2 linked regions of the Coturnix japonica genome follow. The protein of the gene in region 2 interacts with the protein of the main gene of each other region in a biochemical or structural test. Links are inferred from orthologs where the notes say so. Each region holds a gene or a part of one and is shown on either strand. Other genes may lie near its edges.

The links.
Region 1: the proteins of TNNI1 (region 2) and TNNC1 are reported together in a solved structure, tested with the Homo sapiens proteins (2 studies listed by BioGRID, with this or other methods). The link is inferred for Coturnix japonica from reciprocal best matches to the Homo sapiens genes TNNI1 and TNNC1.

Annotation. Positions count from the first base shown.
Region 1 is NC_029527.1:237,526-240,656, reverse strand, and holds the end of TNNC1 (troponin C, slow skeletal and cardiac muscles), read left to right. Parts: intron 1-185; coding exon 186-216; intron 217-381; coding exon 382-528; intron 529-1,336; coding exon 1,337-1,451; intron 1,452-1,554; coding exon 1,555-1,691; intron 1,692-2,244; coding exon 2,245-2,276; 3' UTR 2,277-2,420; downstream 2,421-3,131. UniProt on the Homo sapiens protein: Troponin is the central regulatory protein of striated muscle contraction. Tn consists of three components: Tn-I which is the inhibitor of actomyosin ATPase, Tn-T which contains the binding site for tropomyosin and Tn-C.
Region 2 is NC_029541.1:1,161,193-1,165,744, forward strand, and holds the start of TNNI1 (troponin I, slow skeletal muscle), read left to right. Parts: upstream 1-1,631; 5' UTR 1,632-1,699; intron 1,700-3,224; 5' UTR 3,225-3,244; coding exon 3,245-3,255; intron 3,256-3,661; coding exon 3,662-3,668; intron 3,669-3,760; coding exon 3,761-3,802; intron 3,803-4,238; coding exon 4,239-4,370; intron 4,371-4,455; coding exon 4,456-4,545; intron 4,546-4,552. UniProt on the Homo sapiens protein: Troponin I is the inhibitory subunit of troponin, the thin filament regulatory complex which confers calcium-sensitivity to striated muscle actomyosin ATPase activity.

The sequences.
Region 1 (3,131 bases), on a different chromosome or scaffold from region 2:
GACCTTGATGCTTATGATTGTTTATTGAATCTGGGGCTGAAAACAACTGGGGATGGTCTTGGCCATGGCACAAAGATGTCCCTCCTCTGACCAGGTCCCAGCCTGTGAGAGAGCAGCTCTTGGAGGGTTAGCAATGAGTGGCAATGAGGAATTAAAATGGATTGCTCTCTGTCTTTCACTTACAGGTTGAGCAGCTGACAGAAGAACAAAAAAATGGTAGGTGCATCTTTAACCTGACATGGCAGCCTGAGGAGGAGCTCCCAGGGCTCTTGATCCACTAGGATCACATCACAGGCAGCTTCTGTGTCCCCCGGGTGTTCCCACCGGGCAAACCCCCAGCCTGGGGGACAGAACCCACACATCTCTCCATTCTCTTCTCAGAGTTTAAGGCTGCCTTCGACATCTTCGTGCTGGGGGCAGAGGATGGCTGCATCAGCACCAAGGAGCTGGGGAAGGTGATGAGGATGCTGGGGCAGAACCCCACCCCCGAGGAGCTGCAGGAGATGATCGATGAGGTGGATGAGGATGGTGAGAGGTTCTGGTTTCCTCATTTGAAGCCCTGTCCTGTTGCTCAGTGCTCCCTGCTGCCTGTGGGCCTCAGGCAGGATCCATGCGGGACACAGCGCCTGCTGAGAGCCTGGAGCTGGGGTTATGATAGATCCTGAATGCACCCCACGCTTCTGTGTGGTTCCTACAGGGAATTTCCAGACTAATAAACACTATAAAAATGATTCTGACTGTCGTGGCCAGACTACTTGAACCAATTTGGTAGTAACTGGTATTGCATAAATGTCACAATTTGTCAACATTTATCAGCAGGAAAGTCTTTCACCGCTCTAACATATATGGACATAAACACGTATACTGATCAAATCAGTGTGTGCACACAAAACCAGTGTGCAGGCTGGAGGGAAAGACTGTGCCAAGAAACTGGAAAACAGAAAAGTGGCCCCAAATCATGCAAAGCCTTAGTGCCATTGAAAACAACAGTGCTACGCTGCTGGTGCAAAAATAGTGCATGAATACCTGCCTGCTGGAGTTTTCATTATTAATGAGATGGACAGGTGCCTCCAGGGTAGGAATTCACATTCATCAAAGCTTCCAGTCCTGTTTTGCAGTATATTTGGTTTGCTGGGGCAAAATGGCTACAAAAGGTAAAAAAACCAAGAGCAATGAATTCAATCCATGGTTTCAGTTGCTCACTCCAGCCTGCAAGCTGCCTCCTGCCACAGAGCTGCTCTCTGAGTTCGGTCCTGCAGTTCCTAGCAGGAACTTTGTCCTCTCACTTGGCTTTACCTGTGCACCCACTGCCTGACGGTGTTCATTCTGCACACAGGCAGCGGCACCGTGGACTTCGATGAGTTCCTTGTTATGATGGTCCGGTGTATGAAAGATGACAGCAAAGGAAAAACTGAAGAGGAACTTTCAGATCTCTTCAGGATGTTTGATAAGTAAGAACCACAGCCACAGTGTGGGTGATGGGAGAGGTGAGATGGCCCCAGCTCACCTCCCCAGTGTGCGGGTCCCTTCCTAAGCTCCTCTGTGCTCACACAGGAATGCTGATGGCTACATCGATCTTGAAGAACTGAAGATCATGCTGCAGGCAACTGGAGAGACGATCACTGAGGATGACATAGAAGAACTGATGAAAGATGGGGACAAAAACAATGATGGCAGGATTGACTATGACGGTAGGAGTCTTTCTTGCCTGAAGTTTGGTTGTGAGTCTTTGAGCAGCTCCCATGGTCTCAGTTGTCTTTGGGGGCAGGTGTGAGCTTGTGCAGAGCTGGGCAATGCTCCTGATCCCATCCTGGCTTTGTATGGAGCTGGGGAGGTTGTAAAATGTTTGCAAGGACCTGGGCATCCCTTAACTTCCTACTGATGCTGTACAGCAAGGTTTGCTTTCACTGAGACCTGCCCGTCTGCTTTTGCCACCTAAACACCAGCATCAGCACTGAGGGGCTGTTATTTTGGACACGGCGCTGTCAAAAGGATCTGCAGGCTGTTTTTGAGTGGAGTCTGTGGCCGGGGGTGACACTGGGCACTGGTGACATTTCCACTGCAGGCATGAGGAGCTCTGGCCATGGCCAGAGGAGCAGTAGCCATCTGCCTGGCTTCTTGTGCTTCAGTTAGATGGAAATAGAGAAAGGGCCGTGGAGAGCTGCCAAGCGCGTACTATGGCAGCTGTGAAAGCACTTCAGTGCCACCTAATAGCCCTCATCTCTGATGTCTCCCCCTTGGCAGAGTTCCTGGAGTTCATGAAGGGAGTTGAATAAATCTGAGGCCAGATGGACAGCCCGAATCTCTGAAACCCCTTCTGCTCTGTGACTCAGCTTCTCGGTTCTGTCCCCTGGCTGCCGGCATGAAGACTGAGCGCTGAGAAGGGTGGCCATAGGGAAAATAAAGAGTGTTGCTATCAAGTGCTTCTGGTAGTGGTTCCTTGGCAGTACGGTGAGCGCTGCACCTTGGCCATAGGCTCACAACCAAAGGGGACGCTCCTCGTGGCTCTGGGTGCCTGCCAGGGAGTCGCCATGTTGTGCTGCCCCACTGGTCACAGCATGTGAGGGCAGCAGGGGCCTGCACTGGTGCCTGCTGGTTTAACTGGAGCCCTGGCAACATTTTAGTGATGAAACATGAATTAACAACCACTTGTTCCATTACTAAAACCCCTGGGAAAGGAGCATCTCCTTTCCTCCCTGACATTCCTACAACTGTCCCAAAGACATCCCTCCCCCCCTCCCTATCCTGATGTCCACTCTGTGGTACATACAGAGGGAAAATTATATTTGGAAGCACCTCTTCCTTGTCTCACTCTGTGTGGAGGGAGGCAGGTGGTCCTGCAAGGGAGCAGCGCTGTAGCACTACGGCATCTCACACTGAATCTGAATCACAACATTTCTCCCTTAGAAATCCCACCTGTTTGGGTGCCAAGGGTCCCGAGCAGGGCTTGACCCTGACACAGTCTCAGTATCCACATTCAGGGTGGCAGCAGGGTTAGGAGGACAAGTGGTGCTGTTTCTGATGCCTTGGGCACCGTCTTCTCTCTCCCCAAGGAAGTGTGGCATTCCTATGGTATTAGCAGCTCCCCCTGCACATAGCTGCCTCCTCCCATCAAATTACATCCCAGCACG
Region 2 (4,552 bases):
CTCTCTGTACAGCTCTGGAAATTCAATGTTGGCTTCCACCTCCTCATAGACAGCCCAGGGCAGCCCCTGCTTCAAATCAGTGTGTCCCAAGCACTGTGGGATATTATTTTGCAAAGAACTTGACTTCAAACTGATCTTCCCCATAGATTTCCAGACTGTCCCCATCCTACATATGAGGAGCTCAGAGGGCATCTCATAAAACTACAGGCATAAAGCAACCCCAGTGTCTCCAGGCAGCTCATCACTGTGTGTGAGACAGTGGCAGGGACACAAAATATCCCCATGACATCAGAGGGATGGGGACACCCATGGCTCCTTCTGGTCCTATGGCTGCCGGTCCTACAGTCTGGGGCTGAGGGGAGCCCTTGTTCCTCCCCTCTTTCTCTGTCCAGGTTCCTACAGAGAATGAAACTTGAGCCCAGAGCCAATGGCATCCCAAAATTGCCTGCACTGCTCCCCAAGCCCCAGTCCCCAGACAGGGCTGTGGGGAATGCAGGGCCTTTGTCACTGGCTAAATTTGGCTCCTCTGTGTGCAGAGAACAATCCCAAGGAGAGATGCTGGCGGCACAGCCCTGCAGGCATCTTACCTTATAAAGGGCTGCCATAACACCTCCTCCTGCAGCCTGGGATCCACAACGCTGCACCAGAGCAGATGAAGCCAGGATGGGACTGCCACTGTCATTGCCCCAGCTACCATTACCAAACCCACACCAGCCAGAGGGCTGCTGCATCTTCCCCCTATGGCAAAGATGTCCTGGCAGTGGGAGGAGATGGGAACAGCTCCATGTTCAGTGGGATATGGGGCTGCTGTACCCCCTGTGCCCCCCATCACAGGAGCTGCCCCATGCACGCAACTGCTTGTTCCTCCGTGACCATAATAGATTTAGGATTAAAATACCAGGCATTGTCCCGCTGGGCTGCACGCTGGGGATTGTTTGCTCCTAAACTTGCCCCTAAAAATATCCCAGGAACAGGTGCTGCCTGCCCTATGGGCTGCACAGAGCCTCCTTCTGTGGGGACACCCAGCTGGGGTGCAGGGAGCAGCTTAGGGGATGGGAACTGCTTGAGCATCCCAACCAGGACCTGGCTGCTCCTGACCCACAAACCTGCACTCAGTTCCTGGTGCAGTGGTGGAACCCCCTCCCCATCACCCCCATCAGAGGGGATGTGCTCTCCTGCTCTCACAGCCCCATGGGCAGCACTGCTGTGAGTACCTCACTGTGGATGTGGATGTGTCAGTTCCTCACCCCATCTCCTTATCTGCAAAATAAATGAATAAAGCTGGGAAATTTTATGCAGAGAGAGAAAAGCCACACAGAGACACGATTTTTGCCTCCTTGCAGGGTTTACCCAGCAAAGGGAAAATGGAAATGGAGTGGGAAGCATATGGGCACTGCTGTTGCACCCTGGATGCATGGGCAACAAGCAGCAGCAGAACTGACTGCATGCAAACAGCAAACATTGCTTCGAACGTGTTGGGGTCACAACTGCAACAAACCCAGCTGTGATGCACTCGTGTGCTGAGGCTGCACCCCAGGTGTGTGCTGCACGTCACGGGGCAGTGGGGCTTGCAGTGCACCAGAGGGGATTTGTGCTATTTTTACTGACCACTTGGAAGCCAGCTGAGGGTTAACACTCCCACTCCGTCTCCGGGCCCCCGCAGTGCTCAGCTTTGCAGACACCAGGCACCAGCTCCCAGGTAAGAGGGTCCCCCCCAGTGGGATTGCTGGGGATGTGGGGCTGTTGAGCCCCAGCTGTAGCAATGGGTTTTCAGTCTGAGTCAGCCACCAGCACCATCCTGGGGCAGACTGAGTCCTTCTGTGGCTGCTTGGGGTCATTGGTGGGATGGGGGAGGTGGGCTTGGAGCGTGCCCAGGGTGGGTGCAGGGGGATGACAGGACAAGGCTGTGCTTGATTTTACAGGGTTATTTCTTTTAGTGTTTTCTCTGCTTTTGTGTTTTATGAAACTTTTTATGCTGGTGATCAGAGCAAAATGAGCTCATTCTGACCATGTCTCCGTCAGAGAGTAAAGTCTCTTATGGATGCTCTGGGTCTGGAGCCCCCAGATCCCCTGACATGAGCTCACCAGGCACATCCTACCTGCTCCCCTGAGCCCTCTGGGAAGCCAAATTGGAACTACTTTGCCCTAAAACTTTGTTGCCCTTGATAGAGGTCGCTGGGATGGGATCTGGCATGGGTCCCACCTCCTGGGACGTGGCTTTGTTCTGAGGGGAAGGAGGAGAAAAACGCCACGAGGCTACTCCAACTGCTGCTGCTCTATGGGGACACAGAGGGTTTTCTGTGTCTCCCCCCGCCCCCGTGGAATTCAAGAAGGAGCAGTTGGGGGCTGCCCTCAGCCTATATATCCTATTTTGGGGGCTATTCTCTGTAAACCCTAAGACCTGCAGGCTCTGTGGGATGGGGCTCCTGTTGAGATCTGTGGCTTTTCTCCCCCAGCTGCAATGCTTCAGGTTGGAGCTCTGGTGCAGTGGGGACACAGGGAGGGATGAGGATAAACTGGAGGACCAGTGCCCACACACTGTGCAATGCTCAGCTCAGGGGGAACCTCTCCAGGAGCAGAGGAACTCTTCTTAACTTTCCCCTTTGTGGTTTAAAATGGTTCCCAGATTCACTGGGGGAGGCAAAGAAGTCAATGGAGGTGGAACACCTCAATGTGAAGTAACAGCAGCAGCCCCACCAGCACTGACAAGAGCTGTTTGTTACTGAGATGCTCCTTCAGTTCGGATGCAAAAACTGGAAGGAAGATTCAATGGGCATTTTCCCAGTGCTTTTCCCACCCCTGGGCTCCCGCTGTGAGCAGCCAGCAGGGGCTCAGCATACAGCAGCTGCTGGGGCATAGGGTTACTGAGAGCATTCCAACTATGAAACGGGTGAGCGTTCCATTGGGGAGCAGGGCTGGATGCTGGGGAGGTCCAAGCAGAGGGGGTGGGTGACCCCTCCCTCCTCCCTCCTGTGCACACCCAGACCCAGAGCTCCCTACACAGGCTGGGTGAGGAGTGAGGTGGGCACTGGGAAGCTCCAGAGAGCACCAGGGCTGCTCTCCTCCATCAGCAGCACCGGACCCCAACAATGCCTGACCGACACCACCCTGTGGCTTGTTTCATCCTCCTCTCCTGTTTGTTGATGTATAGACCAACCCACCTCTATATATACTTGCTTATTTCTGCATGTTATTTATTTCTTTGTGTCTTTGTGTGTTTTCAGGACACCAACCCAGCGCCACGATGCCAGAGCCGTAAGTTGTGCTGCTCCCTCTCCCCCCGGGGCTCTCTCACTCCTACCCACCAATATGGTGTTCAGACTGGAGAGCACATTGCTTGGGTTCACTGTGCTGTTCCCTATGTAAAAAATCATCTGTCTTCAACTAAAAGTATGCAGCAACCTCAGCACCCTCATTGGAGATTTCTGAGGTCAGAGAACCTGAAAGCACAAAATCATTGAGTTTTGGCTTTTTGAGAGCCTTCAGCCCCCAGAGAGCTGCAGGTCAGGCTCACTGTGGCTCTCAGTCATTGCACACAGAGGGAAGGAGACCAATGGGAATCTCAAGGGGAACATCTGACTGCCACCTCCTTTTGATTCCCACTCACTGATGCTCTGTTTTCTCCTCTCCTTCTCTGCTCCTGCCCAAACGCGCCTGCCAGCAGGGAGGTGAGTGCTTCCCCTTTTGGGAGGGATCATGATACTCCCCTGCCTTTGCTCTGAGTTTGTTTTCAAAGCTTTTCCCCTCCCCTTTCCCCTAGAGAAAATCCAAGATCACAGCTTCGCGCAAACTCCTGTTGAAGGTGAGTCCTAAGGGCTGGAAACTCCCTGGGTCTGATGGAACAGAGCTGTGTGGTTGGTGGGATGGTGGTGGGGAACAGCAGCGCTGCAGGAGCAGCTCCCACTCCCACATCTCTTCTGAGAAACGCTCACTGATGTGGGCTCTGCGGCTGATAGAGCAAATCTCCCCTCCCTTCCCCCCTGTGTGAAGGTGGGAGAAGCTCTGAGCCCTCCTGCTCTGCAGCCACAGCCCCACAGCCCCCGTGTTGGTGCACCTGGGCTGTGCAGCACCACCCTGGGAGCTCCCCTTGCTGTGGCTTGAGAAAGTCTCTACCACAGCAGAGCAAAGGCAAGCAGAGAAGCGCTGAGATCAGCATCCCATAGACCCACCGGCAACTCTGGAGGCCTCAGCAATGGGATCTGCCCATCCACACCTCCACCATCTGCTTGTGCCCACAGAGCTTGATGCTGGCAAAAGCCAAGGAGGAGTGGGATCAGGAGATCGTGGACAAACAGTCGGAGAAGGAGAGATACCTGTCTGAGCGCATCACCCCGCTGCACACCAGTGGGCTCTCCTTGAGCCAGCTTCAGGTACATCCCTGCTCTGAGAATGGAGCACCAGCTCTGCAGCACCGGGCCCACTGCTCACCTCCTTTGTGCTGTGCTTGGCCATTAGGATCTGTGCCGGGAGCTGCATGAGAAGGTGGAGATTGTGGATGAAGAGAGATATGACATCGAAGCAAAGTGCAACCATAACACTAGGGAGGTAGGAA